Arabidopsis thaliana: one gene and its partner. The protein of the gene in region 2 interacts with the protein of the main gene of each other region in a pairwise test. Each region holds a gene or a part of one and is shown on either strand. Other genes may lie near its edges.

What was found. Proteins that work in one complex are often made in the same cells at the same time.
Region 1: the proteins of SIRB (region 2) and HAM2 interact in a two-hybrid assay, tested with the Arabidopsis thaliana proteins (2 studies listed by BioGRID).

Annotation. Positions count from the first base shown.
Region 1 is NC_003074.8:22,408,064-22,417,074, reverse strand, and holds HAM2 (GRAS family transcription factor), read left to right. Parts: upstream 1-4,411; 5' UTR 4,412-4,707; coding exon 4,708-6,579; 3' UTR 6,580-6,835; downstream 6,836-9,011. Other genes in the region: ATG8G (Ubiquitin-like superfamily protein), read right to left, coding at 104-204, 294-412, 508-560, 790-845, 921-957; CDS5 (cytidinediphosphate diacylglycerol synthase 5), read right to left, coding at 8,836-8,915, 8,987-9,011.
Region 2 is NC_003070.9:18,577,762-18,586,286, forward strand, and holds SIRB (sirohydrochlorin ferrochelatase B), read left to right. Parts: upstream 1-4,236; 5' UTR 4,237-4,325; coding exon 4,326-4,384; exon of another isoform or gene 4,385-4,447; coding exon of another isoform or gene 4,448-4,479; coding exon 4,480-4,721; intron 4,722-4,853; coding exon 4,854-4,915; intron 4,916-5,094; coding exon 5,095-5,205; intron 5,206-5,327; coding exon 5,328-5,420; coding exon of another isoform or gene 5,421-5,501; exon of another isoform or gene 5,502-5,642; coding exon 5,643-5,753; 3' UTR 5,754-6,071; downstream 6,072-8,525. Other genes in the region: AT1G50140 (P-loop containing nucleoside triphosphate hydrolases superfamily protein), read right to left, coding at 1-66, 177-301, 391-902; AT1G50160 (ribonuclease H superfamily polynucleotidyl transferase), read left to right, coding at 3,668-3,889; AT1G50180 (NB-ARC domain-containing disease resistance protein), read left to right, coding at 6,474-7,356, 7,434-7,580, 7,655-8,313, 8,395-8,525. UniProt on the Arabidopsis thaliana protein: Chelates iron to the siroheme precursor. Catalyzes the last step of the siroheme biosynthesis.

The sequences.
Region 1 (9,011 bases), on a different chromosome or scaffold from region 2:
TGTGCCTACATAAGCCATAATAATCATATCCGCATCTAAGCAAGTTCACGGACAAGAAAAGAAAATGGAATATTTACATTCAATTAAAAGCAAGAACACCAAATTAAGTCATTGACGATCCAAAAGTGTTTTCCCCACTGTAGGTAACATACAAGAAGCCGTCTTCTTCCTTATTCTCATCGTAAATGGTTGACATCATCGCTCCTGCAATTGAGTTTCCAATATAAAAACCAACAGGTTTATGTAAGGACTAAAGAGTTGTTTAAGTAGAGATTGAGAGGAGGAGACAGTACCGGTGGGAGGAAGAACATTATCAACAAAGATGAAGATAGCTTTCTCTGCACTAAGTTGGATTCTCTTACGAATCACATACACAAACTGGCCTACCGTTAGATCAGCTGGGACAAGGTATCTGTAAAATGTAAAATCCAAAACATGAAAATTAAGCAAGAGAGACTCCAATGTTAAGAATCAGATTTGATATTATAAAGAAAAAGAGGATCATACTTCTTCTTGTCAATGTTTGGGATATCACTTTTCTCTGACTTCTCCACAATCACCTATTACAAAAGAGAGACATTAATATAACCATCTTATTCTGAAACTATGCATTGAACTCTCAACAAGAACCACATCTATCTATCAAAAAGTGTTATTTTTGCAAGATTTCAATCAATCAGGCCTCACAAGAGCTTCTCAAATAGGGTATATTCCTATGTGAGCAATATCAGGAAAACTAGGAAACAGAACAAAATCGATGGCAGTGACATAAGAAGAGAGTAAGAATACCGGGACTCTGTCAGAATACTTCTCTCTGATCCTTAAAGCCTCAGCTTTCCTCTTCTCTGCAATATAAATCAATCATCAACCAATCATACTAACTTAAATTACTGGAAAAAAGAAGAAGAAGATTTATATACCGAAATCATGATCCTGCCTGAAGCTGACGTTACTCATCTTCTTTTGATTCCTGAATATATATAACAAATTTCCAGAATCACCAACCCAAATAAGAAGAAAAGAAAAACGATAATTTACCAAATCCCAACACAAAACCCTAATTTTTCTACTACCCAAGTCGTAATACACTTATCTCTGTATATTCTTGTAGAAATCAAACATAAATTATATGCATAAACGAAATCAAATCGGAGAAAACTTACCTCTCTGGATTATGCGACTTGGTTAAGATCAAAAACTTTGGATTCGACTTTGTGTGATTCAATTAATCTTCGACTGCGATCGTCACAGTTATATGTGTATATATACAATTCGTGTAACCTTTTCCTTTTTTGTTTACCGAAAGATTATCGAATTAGTGAATGACACGTCAGCTGATAATTTAATTTAATCAATGCAAACCAAAAATCGAGGTAAATTAGCATGATTTAAGGAAATGTTTAAGTGATGTTGTTACCAAATACAATTGTAGTGGTTATTTATGCACTAAGGCCCATAACTAGTTAATAATAACTCATTACTCTATGAAGCCCATTATAAGTCTTCCGTATATTTGTTTTCATAGAAGATAAGAAACCCAGCCCAACGTTTTTTTTTTTTTTGGTGGTTCAGCTGAGATCAAACCAGCAGGACATATCTAAACCAGAAGTTTTTTCTGTATTAAAAGGTCAATAACTAAAGTTTAAGGACAAAAAATCTACATTGTTGAATGTTGATCATTCAAATTTGTAAGATCGTATACTTAAAATATAGTTTTAAGAGATTGTATATCATAATCCTTGACTTCAAATCAACGATGGATCAAAACTAGCTTTTTTTTATTGAACTTTTAATAGTCAACAGAATTGAAAACTGATTTATGATAGTCATTAAGATTCTAGCACAATATCCACACTAGTTCCAGGCTCGTAGCTTACGTAACGTAACCTATATGGTTATCATATACTTTTGAGGAACTCTCCCAGTAATTAAGTCATTGAAAACCAGTAGTGCCATGCGGCGGTAGGACTTTTTCGTCTAATTGTTTTTTGTAGGTTAACAATGGTTCAAACACTAATAATTTATATAGTTTCACCAAACAATTAAAGATAATACTACATGGTTGTGTTGGTTGTTGTATTGACAAATTATAAGTTCATACAATCTATCACTATCTTTACTTTTTCTTTTGTTTCCGCCGTCACTGTATCTATCCGCTAAGCGAGACAAATTTTTATCGTTTGTGTTGTAATGTGTCTCCTAAATATATAGTTGATCTAATTAATAATATATAAACCAACCAAAATGTGACATGCTTTGTTATGAATAAGAAAAAGTTACATTGTCCTTGTTTAGTGTTTGTGATTTGATTAAGATATTATGATATGACATGATTCACATAAGTTAACCCCACTAGCATTCCTGAACATAAAAATTGAAAACTTTAAATAAAGAGAAAACAGAAAGCTTTGCCCGTGAGTCGAGGTTAGCAAAGGAGACTATATACCGTCTATTTTGAGGACTTTAAGTTTATTTTGGGAAATTAGCAAATCTAAAAACATAGTGGAAGTGAATTGCAAATATGACATTTGACATAAACTGAGATAATTTGGTTACAGGGTTAATATATTTCTACATCGAAGTTAATTTTTTTACTTGTTTTATATCACTGTAACCAAATTACATGAATTTCCGTGAAACCGAATCACGAGTATGTATGCAAGGTAACACACGGTCGATGTGTCCCTCCACTAGCCAGTCATCAACCTATAGAATGTATAGAATGAGTTGATTAAATTACGCAAATTGGTCATTTTTTAATCCTAAAATATAACAACAAAGCAGAAAGAAATACTAGTTTAATAGAATACATGTTGTTAGACATATTACAAGGTGGTGGAAATTCACATGGAGGTTTCTTGTTTGTCTTGGAGGAAAAAAAACATGTCTCCCATTATTACAATGTCCAATTACAAAGATTTTTGTTTTTATATTATTTTGGCTTAAAAAATAGAAATATGTTTAGGGCAATCACATAAGCCATGTCTCCCTTCCATTCACACACAAACTACCAAAAGTTCCAACTTGTCTTCGCAATCCAGCTCCACCTCTTTTCTTTTTAATCTCCTTTTGGTATCCTCTATTCTATTACCGCCACCAATAAACGGCCACTTAAGTATTTCAAGTTTGTCAAAGAAGTGAAAAAAAGAAGAAGAAATGATATAGATGATTTTAGAAAAGAATGGTGGAATAAAACGATTTGATTATCGCAAACACGTGTAAACATCAACTAACATAGGCTAAAGATTTGTCATAATTTTAGTTTTGACCGTGTCTACTTGTCGTTCAAAATTAAACTTGATTAGCAAATGCAAGATTTTATAGTCAATATGTCATTTATTAGTTAGTTTATAAAAAATCTAGACTAGAGCCATGAGATCTTCTCCAGAGTTCATGCAATTTCAACCGTTAGATAAAAAAAAAAAACAGAGTGTGTTAATAGAAAGCAAGGGTAATTATGGAAAACAATGATTAACAATAAAGCCATCTGTATCAAATTCGCTTTTTGCTCTGAAACCTCGGTATATGTTTTTGATTTTTTTAATAGTACTGTCTTTCAGATTGATCGTTATCTAACGCGCCTCAACAGTTCTGGACTATTGAATTACTTACTGTAAGACAATCAACTAATAACTGACTCTTTTAGGTTTTTGGGTTTCGACAATTCAATTTATTTTCTTTCTTTTCTTCATACTCCTATTACTTATTTAGTTTGATCTAATGAATTATACACTATATGATCCCATATTCTTAATAAATAAGTAAATAATTTTGACTATTTTAAGTATTTTTACGATTTCGCTCTCAAAATGTTTTTTACCTGTAATTTCAAAAATAAATTTGACACATCCTTTTTTTTTTGTCAAACATTTGACACATCCTTTAAGTAAACAAATCTATTGGTTTGAAGAAAAAAGAACAAAAATCTTTTGGTTCATTTTCATTTGACCCTTGACTTAGTTTTTATACATATATAATGAAGTATATTTTTACTATCATACTATTTAATATAAAACATGTTACTGCACATATATATTAAATCACCCAATTGCTATTTCACTAAATAACAAATTATTTTACAAGATGCAAGTTTATTTTATAAATCGAACAAAATTTACGAAAAATGTAGAATAGTAATTTTGTCGATATGCATAAAATTTATTGGTTTCCTTGTTTTTTTTTTCCTCAATCCAGTGTTTTCCTTATTTATTATGTTGTCATCATAGTAATTTAGTCAATTTATGATTAAGGCTAAATTTATTCGATTAATGACACTTTGATTTCGATTTTCATGGCTTAAACTTATATAATCAATGATCTCTTGGAGAGTAAGAGTGACGCGCCGTAAGTGCGAGTAGGGTTAGAAACGAGGGGATATAAAATGAGTACAGATGTAGATAAGTAAATCTACAGACACAAGGCACCACACACACAGCAAAAACCAAATCCTTTACTTAAAAAAAAAAAAAAGAGAGCATTTTTTATGAAGATCATCACTTTGGAATGTTGTTGGAATCATCCAGAGTCAATATACATAAGCAACGAGAAGAAAGATTGTTATTAATACCGAGTGTGAGATAATGTGGGCGCCAATTTCAGTTTCAAGCTTTCATCTTCGTCTTCCTCTTTAAGTTCTGAGATCTAGGGTTTTTCTGGGTTTCTTTGTTCTCACTCTTAAATTCTCTTTCTGACTCTGTAAGATTGGTCATGCCCCTGCCCTTTGAGCAATTTCAAGGGAAGGGGGTTCTGGGTTTCTTAGATTCTTCTTCTTCTCCGGGATACAAAATCTGGGCTAATCCAGAGAAGCTCCATGGACGAGTAGAAGAAGATCTCTGCTTTGTTGTCAACAATGGTGGTTTCTCGGAGCCGACGTCTGTTTTAGACTCTGTTAGAAGTCCAAGCCCTTTCGTCTCTTCTTCAACCACCACGCTGTCTTCTTCTCACGGTGGTCCCAGCGGCGGCGGCGCTGCTGCTGCTACTTTTTCCGGCGCCGATGGGAAATGCGACCAAATGGGTTTCGAGGATCTCGATGGTGTTCTCTCCGGTGGCTCGCCGGGACAAGAACAGAGTATTTTTAGATTAATCATGGCTGGCGATGTAGTGGATCCGGGTTCGGAGTTTGTGGGTTTCGACATCGGTTCTGGATCCGACCCGGTTATTGATAATCCTAATCCACTCTTTGGATATGGCTTCCCTTTTCAAAACGCACCGGAAGAAGAAAAGTTTCAGATTTCAATAAACCCAAATCCGGGTTTCTTCTCGGATCCTCCGTCGTCTCCTCCTGCGAAACGGCTCAATTCGGGTCAACCCGGATCTCAACACCTCCAGTGGGTTTTCCCGTTCTCGGATCCGGGTCACGAATCTCACGACCCGTTTCTCACACCGCCAAAGATAGCCGGAGAAGACCAAAACGACCAAGACCAGTCAGCGGTAATCATCGACCAGCTATTCTCTGCGGCGGCGGAGCTCACCACAAACGGCGGAGATAACAATCCCGTTCTCGCGCAAGGGATATTGGCGCGGCTCAATCACAACCTTAACAACAACAACGACGACACTAACAACAATCCTAAACCTCCGTTCCACAGAGCAGCTTCGTATATAACAGAAGCTCTTCACTCTCTCCTTCAAGACTCATCATTATCACCACCGTCTCTCTCACCTCCTCAAAACCTAATCTTTCGGATCGCAGCTTACAGAGCTTTCTCAGAAACGTCACCGTTTCTTCAATTCGTCAACTTCACAGCAAACCAAACGATTCTCGAGTCATTCGAAGGGTTTGATCGGATCCACATTGTCGATTTCGATATCGGTTATGGAGGTCAATGGGCGTCTCTGATTCAAGAGCTCGCCGGAAAAAGAAACAGATCTTCATCAGCTCCGTCGCTAAAGATTACAGCTTTCGCTTCTCCTTCAACTGTCTCCGACGAATTCGAGCTCCGATTCACTGAAGAAAATCTCAGAAGCTTCGCCGGCGAAACAGGTGTCTCCTTCGAAATCGAGCTCTTAAACATGGAGATTCTCTTGAATCCAACTTATTGGCCACTGTCTTTATTCCGATCATCGGAGAAAGAAGCAATCGCTGTGAATCTCCCAATCAGCTCCATGGTCTCCGGTTACCTCCCATTGATACTTCGTTTCCTCAAGCAAATCTCACCAAACGTCGTCGTTTGCTCAGACAGAAGCTGCGACCGTAACAACGACGCGCCGTTCCCTAACGGTGTGATTAACGCGCTTCAGTACTACACATCTCTGCTCGAGTCTCTCGACTCTGGGAATCTGAATAATGCGGAAGCTGCTACGAGTATTGAGAGGTTTTGTGTGCAACCGTCGATACAGAAACTGTTGACGAATCGTTACCGTTGGATGGAGAGATCACCGCCGTGGAGAAGCTTATTTGGGCAATGTGGGTTTACTCCTGTGACGCTGAGTCAGACGGCGGAGACACAAGCGGAGTATTTGTTGCAGAGGAATCCAATGAGAGGGTTTCACTTGGAGAAGAGACAGTCTTCGTCGCCTTCACTTGTCTTGTGTTGGCAGAGGAAAGAACTTGTTACTGTCTCAGCTTGGAAATGTTAAGACGAAAAAGGAGGATATTTTCACGGTTTAATTTTCTTTTTGTAGCTTTTCAATTTGGGTTAGATCACGTTTTAATATGTTTGATTGTGATGTTAACCAATCAAATGATATATATATAATCTCCTTATGTTAGTCTTTCTTTTTTTTCCTTTTTATATTTCTGCATACTGAGATATGGATCCTTTAATACTTCATTTTTTAAGAGACAGAAGATTTGACATGTAATATGTTATAGGTACTAAAGATTAAGAGGTTTCTCAAAAAAAAAAAAAAAAAACTAAAACTTAAGCTGCCTTACACAAATTTCATTTTTCTCTTGGAAGGTCGACTATACTAAATTCGTAGTTCTTTATTCAAATACTAAGCATAGTAGTAATCCTTAACCTTAATCTAACAAACGAACACTGATAAATAAGAGATTTGTGGAGAAAGCTCTAAACCAATGCAAAAAAACTCAATCAGATCCTCAAAATGTCTTGGAATTCGAACGTGTAACCAAGAGGGTAACCAGGAGGGTCTTTGGCAGTAGCAGCGTTTATAAGTTTAGTCTTGCATTTTGGAAGTTTTTCCATGAAGATAGTAATTCCACAAGCTCTTAATAACCGGATCGGTCTTTTGAAATCGATGTCCCCCGTGATGACCATGATGTTGCAAGGAGTTTGGAAATTGGATGTGATGATATTGGCTTGTGCTGGCAAATCATCCGGCGATGTCGTGTTTACTCTCATACCTAACTTTAAAAACAAAACAAAAAGATGTAAATGATTATTGTATGCGTTTGTGAAAGTGAATCAACATAATCTTAAACAGTGGAGAAAGCTCATCAAAATAGAGTTCAAAACCACAACAGTAAATAAACATCATTTATAAATCATATTTGTACAACGATCCCGACTAACAATTTCATACACCTTAACACACAGAGCAGGCAAATAAAATATCAAACCTAAATTTCAATTACTTGTACGGGTCAAAACAGGTCACAAATACTAATTAGCAAGTATTTGCCTTGTAACGAGTCCTACACATATTTACGAAGCAAAAACTGTCATTTTTACTCACAGTGTCCCCATATAAAAATGTGGAGGTGAGTGTACCTCAAACAATTGTTTTGTGTTCTCTATATCCCACAGTACATGGAAACATAGTTTTCTAAAAATTATTATTAAAAAAATGATATTTCAGGGAATAATTTTCTTTTTAGCTTTTTAATTTAGATAATATCATGTTTTAATATGTTTGAGTGTAATGTTAACCAATCAGATAATATATATATAATTTCCTTATGTTATTCTTACTTTTTCCTTTTTTATTTTTCTGCATATTGAAATATGTTTCCTTTACCTTTATTATGGAGTATATTTTATCATTTTCCTTGAAATGTTTGTTAGAGACATACAATTTACCATGTGTTAATTAGGTCTACTAAAAATTTAAGCTAATGGTAAACAAACTTCATATTACTAAACTATGTATTAACTTGTGTTTTGGGGTTAATGTTGTAAACGATGAGATAACTTGTGTTTAAAGACTTTTTACCTTTTTAGTATAGTAAAGAGATTGCGTAATACGAGTTTTGTCCGTGTAATCAATCACATGGTCCTCGCAGAATTGCTGCTTAGATTTGATATTATCATAATACGACCACTTTATTACTTATTAATCAACCACTTTAGTAAGATTCTGCAGTGAAATTGTGAAAGTATAACATTTGTTTATTGTATTGGATAACAAAATCCACCCATGTCTTTCCTCTTCCCAATCATTTCTTAATTTTCGCCTCTTTATTAGTATCATTGATATTTGATTATTCATTTACATAGTTTCCTTTTTTCATTTCAGATTTTTTTTATAATTGCACTCTAAAAAGTCTGCTTGGGAACAACGCTTTCATTAACATCCCCACATGATTTTAGGCCTTTTTCCTTTAATCCATTATCTGGAAAACAGGAGGAAATTATTTTGGAAAGTAAATCAAGAATGAATCTCTAAATCAATTACCAAACGCCGCCGTTCCATTACCGGTCAGGCAAGACAGACCAACGGTCCGAGAATTCGCCTAACGAACCAGTTTACTCGCATTTAACCAAAAATTGCATACCGGTTCAATCAAACAACAGAACAGACCAATCTCAGAAAATCTGCAGCCATTTCACCATCATTGCTATATGTTGCTTTGAACTTCACTCTTGCGAGGGGAAAACTTTGTCAGTTTCTTCTTGAAGCTATATGTTTTCTTGGGATACAGCAATACAATCAAACTCCATGAAGTCTTACGAACGAGTAGGCTAATGCACCAGTGAAAATGTAACTATCAACTCTGTCCAATATGCCACCTGCAATTACAGAGGACTCGGTTAGAGAGGCAATGATAGACAAATTCCGGTCTGGTTTGACGTGTCATTACCGTGTCCAGGGATGAGTGAGCCGGA
Region 2 (8,525 bases):
CCAACAGGGGAACTTGTGTATCTCGAGCAAGTGCTCGCACCAACCTCTCTCGGTAGAGCTCAGTGCCTGTATAATCAGATCATTATTAGACTCTATTTCCTCACCACTTATATAGTTTGATATAAAAAAACAACGACATTAAAACAATGCAATGCATATTCTAGTCAACAAAAAACCTGGAACACTCTGGAGCAATATTCTCCCACTTGAAGAATCTAAACGAGCACCATATTTGGAAGTCATACTTTTTTGCTTAATATGTGAGCTAACACATTCCACCAGAGTATCTTTTGTGTGTTCGCTGGAGCAAATCAGAACATATCAGCAAAAAATGGAAATGACTAGAAGAAAGTAACACGATAACAGAAGGGAACAGTCTTTGGTTATTACTGGACGTAGTAAGGGAAAGACTCCCAAGAGAGCTGTATAGTTTCCCAAGGTTGAATTCTCCGCAAGAACTCATTCTTCAATCTTTCTCGTTTATTAAGAAAAGGTGACTCCTTTCTGCTTTCACTTGCACGCTTCTCATTGTTGAGCCATTCTATTTGGTCTTGTACTCCAAGTTGAGCGTGAGAATCAAAATGCTCAACACCGACCGTGCTCTTCTCTTTTCCCATCTTGTCTTTATTCAGAGGGAAACGGCTGTCCTCACTAGCATTATTTCCATCACCTTCAGAACTAAACCGACGCAATTGGCTATTCCAAGAATAACTTAAATAATCTCTAGAGGCAATAGCACCATGAGAATGATGGTTTCTTCTCAAATGATCTGTTAGTATACTTGTGGTGGATCTATAAGATTGGGAACCGGTGTGGTCACGAATCACTGGCCTAACTAAGCATTTGTCTTGCTGCAATACAAAACCCCATCTCTGGTTCCTTCTTATTGTCCTTGTATACATTGCAAGTTTCTTTCCTCAGTTCCAACGTCCAAGATCACTGCAAACCAAAAAAGATTCTTTAATTAAAAACAATCTAGAAAAAAAGAAAGAATACACGGCATAAGACAAATACCAAAACCAATGCCTAGATGGATTCTAGAAGCTCTAGAGTAAACTCAAGAAGAAACAACAACAATCTAGAACAACATGGATTCTAGAACTAGCTGTCACAGTTTCAGGAAACCATTTCCCAAAAAGTCCCAATTTCAGAAATCTGTGTTTATCAATGACAAAAAATGAACCTTAGCTGCATAATGAATCTCCATGAAAACACCTAATTCAAGTAAAATTAAGAAAGAATTTCTAGGTATTCTCGTGATTCGTTACCTAATTTAAGCTAACAGATACGGACAATATTAGTTTTGCTCATTCCATGTTAATATGTTCAGACTTGGAGGAAGAAGAAGATGAGAGAAACTCGCGACTCGCGACTCGCGAGAGAGAGAGAGAGACCGATTGTCGTAGGTTTCGAACTCTAGGCTTTGGCGTCTTACCTTTTAGCCCATCTTGTTTTCACTTTCAAATGGGCCCATTAAAAATCTAGGCACGACCTTTAAGCCTACCAAATCTTATTTTGGGTCAGCAGCCTATGTAAACCATCTTTTTTTGCTAAGAGTTACTACCACTACTATTGTATGGTTTCTGTAATGGTTACTTGATGTAATGTTGCTAGCTGAAACAAGATGTAATGCTAGCTTAGCAGTTAGTTTCTGTAATGGTTTTAAACATGATATGGACACTGAAACGGACTACTTATTGGGTCATTAACTCTGGATTCGACTACAGATTAACTGATTAAAATTTATGTAATGTATTTAATATTTATAGAGATTACATAGTTTTATAAATGTAAAACTAAAAATAATCATTATCATGTTTTACAAAATATGAAATCTCACGATAATAATAAAGTGATTAAAGTTTTAATCCATCTAAAACCGTAAAAATACTAAAATAGTAAAAGATTACCAATGACGAGAAATCAACTCATCGCAAATTCAATACAACTAAGCTGGATTGTCTCTTTCACGATTTCCTATATTTTATTTCAAAAGACCAAAATCAAATGAATTTCGTCAAATAAAAGTAAAACTTCTATAAATTAATAATATATATTGATAAGTTTATACAATTATTAATTTATGATACTGATGGACCATATAGTTACATAGAATTTTCAAACAAATTATTATTTTATGTTAAATATTACACTCGACAACTTGAGACCGAAAAATTTATTAATTCATAGTAATCACTAATTTATCAAATTATTTAAAAGTGAAACTTCAATTTACAATTGTACTTACTTCTTTTATTCACCTAATCTATTTGGATGTTGTATAACTGCTAAATCACGTTCACAATTACCGTAAATCTATTATCTTAGATTTAACTTTAGTGAAATATGCATATAGATAATAACAAATTTTAAGTTGATTTTCAATATTTAAATTTGTCATGTTGTATTATAGATTTTTTCGCAAATTGAAGAGTTTAATTTTAATAATACAAAACATTATTAATAAACTCACCTCTGGCCTTCATTACTTTTGGGTTTGTTGCTATTTGTGCTTAGATCTAAAACAATGAGCATAAACCAGATTACTTTCATTCTGTTGGAGTTCGAGGGACATCAAATTTTAGAATTTGGTTTAGTTTGGCTTGATCCTAATACAATGAATGTCACTAACAAGTGGAAGATTTCATCAAACTAGATGATGATTTGGTTCTCAATAACTTTATGGATCGACCAAGCGGTATCACTCGCAGAGATCTCGAACTCGCGAAGAATTGTTGTCAAACCTACAAGGGTATATATATTTGTCTCAATGGTTAGTTTACATGTGTTTTTGGTATTAGAAAATTTAAAGATTTCATTAAGTTTTGGTTTAAACTTACAAATTTTATTTTATCTCTCTCTTGTAATCTGAGAATCTAAACTTTGTTTTATCTTTATGAGAAATTTGGATTGGGCATAACATAATAAAATGTGACATTCAAAATTGAACCTAGTCATCAACAAAGATCTACTCAGGCAAGATATATGGTAGATACTTGTGTCTGGTTTGAGTAACAATTACACACTTCAACTGCAAAGGGTTGTAACGATAGGAAAATTTTGAATTGAATAATAAAAAAATTGAACATTATTCAACTCATTCCTCTACGAAATAGTAGATAATTAAGTTGAACAAATTTCCTTTGTAATTAGTTTATTTTCCAAAAATTTTGGTTGAATGATTTTTCCAACTTATTCATCTCAATGGTAAAAAATGATATGAATGATTTTTCAACTCTTTCAACTTCTTAGTTTGAGACAACTATTTGCACCATTGGACTAACAATTGAAAGATTGGCCACTCAAATAACAAATCAATTATAATATCCCAAGATATGTTTAAAACATATTATGAAACAAAGTACAACCACTATATAATATTTATACAAATCAAACTATTTATAAAATTAAAGTGATAAATTTATTGTCTAGAACGGATTCTCACATAGTACTATTTTAAAATAAAACTTCTAACTATTTTTATCAGTAGCATCATTTTTGGTACTAAATATTTGGAACTAAATTAACATATAGAAAAATTAGTGAGCCATTTAGTTGTTTAATAAGAAAATTGGACATTTTCAGGCTTCATCCTCTATTTGAATTTCAATGGATATTTTGAGAGAAATCTCTGGTTTTAATTTTAATTTTTACAGTCGTAGAGCTAATGAACAACAAAAAGATCAACTTTGGCTGCTGCAACTGGACAAGAGACGCTATGAAATGGCGACAACGATTTGAGGCAGCAGATGTCACATGGGTGTCAAGAACAAACAATGGACCAGCGGATCTTCTTGCAAAACATCGGCTACCAGATAATTGTTCGTTTCAATATCACTATTATGTTCCACCTTTCATTGTATCAGCCTTACATTGTAATCACTCTTGACTTGATTAATTGAAAAAAGTCGATAAAAAAAAAAATCTCTGGTTTTAATCCAAACATCTAAGAGGTCACACACTAGAGTCACATGCAGTGAACTGTCATAATTTTATCACATTATTGTGTTCTCCATCATGTAAAAAGGAGTGGTTCTTTTGTACGTGTTATTTGGTTGTATGTTCTCGGTCAAAAGCCCAATTGTGGGATGGCCCATTAATGATAAAGCCCCTTTTAATTTTAAAAAAACAAACAAAGCCGGCCTGAAATAATAATCGGGTCCCGGGTTGACTGGTCCGACCGACCGGTTCGGTGAGATATTAATGAATGTTTTTCTTCACTCTCCCGATTTCAATTTTTCGGGATCGAGTCCGTTCCGACAAATTAATTTAACAGTCAATGCCGGCAAAAAAAAAAAAAAATTAACAGTCAATTGGCGGCGAAGATGACGACTCAGTCGCAGTTCTTAGTGAACCTCTCTTACGGAGGCCTCGCCTCCCAAAGGTTCATCTTCCTTTCCTCTATACCCCTTCTATCGCTTTCTTCTGTTGTGTTGCTTTCTTCTGAATGATTTTTTTTTTGTCGATTTGTTTTTGTAGTAATCTCAGAGCGAATAATCGTGTTTCACCTTCTTCTTGTCAAATTACACGAACAAATCGCTCATGGGCATTACCAGTTTCCTTTAAAGTTGAGAAATTTCAACTCCAACGAGGAAGGAGGAGAAGAGGATCACCATGTTTTGGGGAGAGCGAAGGGTTGGTCAAAAATGGGATTGGTGATGCTGATGGGATTATAATTGTTGATCACGGTTCTCGTCGCCGTGAATCCAATCTTATGCTTGGTAATAGCTTTGTTTCTCTTCCTTCTCCTTCTTCATTTTCTTTGTTGTCCTTACTTTATTGTATAGTATACTTCCTTTACGGCTTTACCTTGTGCGAGTTTATGTAATTGTGTTGTTGTTTCTGTATTTCAGAGGAGTTTGTGAAAATGTTCAAAGAAAAAACTGGTTACCCAATTGTAGAGCCTGCTCATATGGTAACTCTTTCTAATGTTCTCACCTTTATGCATAGTGAGAACCATACCCATGAGTTTGATACAGTCTGATTTCCGTTTCTTGGTCATCTTTTGCATTTAGCTTAATATGTTCTATATCAGGAAATTAGATGACTTTCAAGCTCTGCTTGCTGTTTGCTGATTTTTACACTTTACATCAGGAATTGGCTGAGCCATCTATAAAAGATGCATTCAGTTTGTGTGTACAACAAGGGGCGAAACGTGTAGTTGTGAGCCCGTTTTTTCTATTTCCTGGAAGACATTGGCATACGGTATGGCTTTGTTCATCTCAATTTGTTTTGTTTTCTTGAAGCTTCTAGCTTTTCTTATTTATGGGATTATTGGAGGATGTACATTAATGGCCTAGTGAGATCATGACCCTTATTTGATTCAGGACATTCCCTCGTTGACGGCTGATGCTGCAAAGGAGTTCTCTGGCATCTCATACCTCATAACTGCACCTCTCGGCCCCCATAATCTCCTCCTGGTAAGTTATAAAGCATATTTTCCCCCCAAAACGAGCGAGCACTTTAAACCTAAGGGATGTGAGAGCATCCTCATGCATTAGTGAATGCCACTTTTTTCCCTTGAACTTCCAATGAGAGCATCCTCATGCATTAGGGATCTTCTGCTGTTTAATCTTCACAAGAGATCTGTTCTTCTTTTGGCTCTTGATCTTTCAGTAATCTACTAATATTTCTTTCTGCAGGACGTTGTAAATGACAGAATCCAACATTGCTTGAGCCATGTTGAAGGTGATGCTGACGAGTGTCTTGTTTGTGCTGGAACAAATAAGTGCAAGCTCTACAATAGTTCTTAGGTGTACATGTAAGAACGTTTTTGTATATCTGCTCATCTTCTCTAACCTTCGGATGCGGGAAAAAAAGGAGGCATAGTATATTGTTCATACTCATCATTTAGTACGCGTCCTATGTTTCAACAAGGGAGTTTTGAGATTTATGTTCTTTTCTTCTTATTGCAGACCAATTTGAAAGACTACGATAATATAATAAAAGCTGTCTGTTAAATGTTGTCTCTCCCTCTTATCAACAAATTAAGAAATTGAAATTTGATGTATCGTATATCAGCAATGTTTCATGGTTATAAAAAAAATAGAAGTTTCTCTCGATGCTTTTTCTGGCCTCCTTTTTCTTTTCTTATTGGGTTTCGTGCATTGCATTTGTTGAACCACAAGGCAGAGACCATTTTTCCTTATTGTAACTTCTGCAGGTAAAGATAAGAGGGAAAACGTGTGGTTGTAGGAGATAGCAAAGACTTTTGAATGTCTCCCACCAAATTCTGATGAATGAATATGTGGATGTGGTATTTCATGGACCAGCACAAAAGAGCATTTCAAGAAGTCGTTTGGTAGCTGTACCATCTAATTATGTTCACATGATGCTGAGAGTTGAATAATTCAGAAAGGGACAAAGAGTGTTATGATTGCGTTGACTTGGAGTCATGTTTCATGAAGGTAGTGCGTAGTTGACTCTTTTCTAGTGTAGGAGGTAGAGATTTGGGAGAGTCACTAGAACACGAAATGGCAGAGGCTATTGTTTCTGTTACAGTGCAGAAGCTAGGACAGTTGCTCTTGGAAGAACCGTTGTTCTTATTTGGTATAGGTGACCAAGTGAAGCAGCTGCAAGACGAATTGAAGCGTTTGAATTGCTTTTTGAAAGATGCAGATGAGAAGCAGCATGAAAGCGAGAGAGTGCGTAACTGGGTTGCAGGCATTAGAGAAGCTTCTTATGATGCAGAGGATATCCTCGAGGCATTTTTCCTCAAAGCAGAATCAAGGAAACAAAAAGGGATGAAAAGGGTGCTTAGGAGGCTTGCTTGCATCTTGAACGAAGCGGTTTCACTTCATAGTGTTGGCTCAGAGATTAGAGAGATCACCTCCAGGCTTTCTAAGATAGCAGCAAGCATGCTAGATTTTGGTATAAAAGAATCTATGGGCAGAGAAGGTTTGAGTTTGTCTGATAGTCTAAGAGAACAGAGGCAATCGTTTCCATATGTTGTTGAGCATAATCTTGTTGGGTTAGAGCAGAGTCTAGAGAAGTTGGTGAATGATTTAGTTTCCGGAGGTGAGAAACTAAGAGTCACGTCCATCTGCGGAATGGGTGGTTTGGGGAAAACAACTTTAGCCAAACAGATTTTCCATCACCATAAAGTGAGGCGTCATTTCGATAGATTTGCTTGGGTATATGTTTCTCAAGACTGTAGACGGAGACATGTTTGGCAAGACATTTTTCTGAATCTCAGCTACAAGGATGAAAATCAGAGAATACTCAGCTTGAGGGATGAACAACTTGGAGAGGAGTTGCATCGGTTCTTGAAAAGGAATAAATGCCTCATTGTGCTTGATGATATCTGGGGCAAAGATGCTTGGGATTGTCTGAAACACGTCTTTCCACATGAAACAGGTAAACTAGTAGTGTTAAGATACAACTAATGTTCTATAATCCTTGTCATTTTTATAGGCTAGTAGTATCTACTGTAGGAAGCGAAATAATCCTCACTACTCGGAACAAGGAAGTCGCTTTATATGCTGATCCCAGGGGTGTGCTTCATGAGCCACAATTGCTAACATGTGAAGAGAGTTGGGAGCTGTTGGAGAAAATTTCATTATCTGGAAGAGAAAATATAGGTAATCATTTGGCTCTATTCTTTCTGCAGCATATATACTATCATACTTCACACACTTATTCACCTGATATGCAGAGCCAATGTTGGTCAAGAAAATGGAGGAGATTGGGAAGCAGATAGTTGTAAGGTGTGGAGGTTTACCTCTAGCTATAACAGTTCTTGGAGGACTTCTGGCAACGAAAAGTACATGGAACGAGTGGCAAAGAGTATGCGAGAACATCAAATCATATGTTTCAAATGGAGGTAGTAGCAATGGAAGTAAGAACATGCTAGTTGCAGATGTTTTGTGCTTGAGTTACGAGTACTTGCCTCCCCATGTAAAGCAATGTTTCCTCTACTTTGCTCATTATCCTGAAGACTATGAGGTTCATGTGGGAACACTAGTTAGTTATTGCATCGCAGAGGGAATGGTTATGCCTGTAAAACACACAGAGGCTGGCACGACAGTGGAAGATGTCGGGCAAGATTATCTTGAGGAATTAGTAAAGAGAAGCATGGTTATGGTTGGGAGGAGGGACATTGTAACTTCGGAAGTCATGACATGCCGTATGCATGACCTCATGAGGGAGGTGTGTTTACAGAAGGCAAAGCAAGAAAGCTTTGTGCAAGTTATTGATTCAAGGGATCAAGATGAAGCTGAGGCTTTTATATCTCTTTCGACCAATACATCTCGTAGAATTTCTGTCCAACTACATGGTGGAGCAGAGGAGCACCATATCAAGAGTCTGTCGCAGGTGAACTACATAAATCCTCGATCTAGATCTCTTGTGTGAATTATAAAGAATCAAGGAAGTTCATGGGCACTTTTGGGTAAGGTTTCCTTCAGAAAGATGAAACTTCTTCGAGTTCTAGATCTTGAGGGAGCTCAAATCGAGGGAGGGAAGTTGCCAGACGATGTAGGAGATCTCATCCATTTGAGGAACCTGAGCGTGAGATTGACAAACGT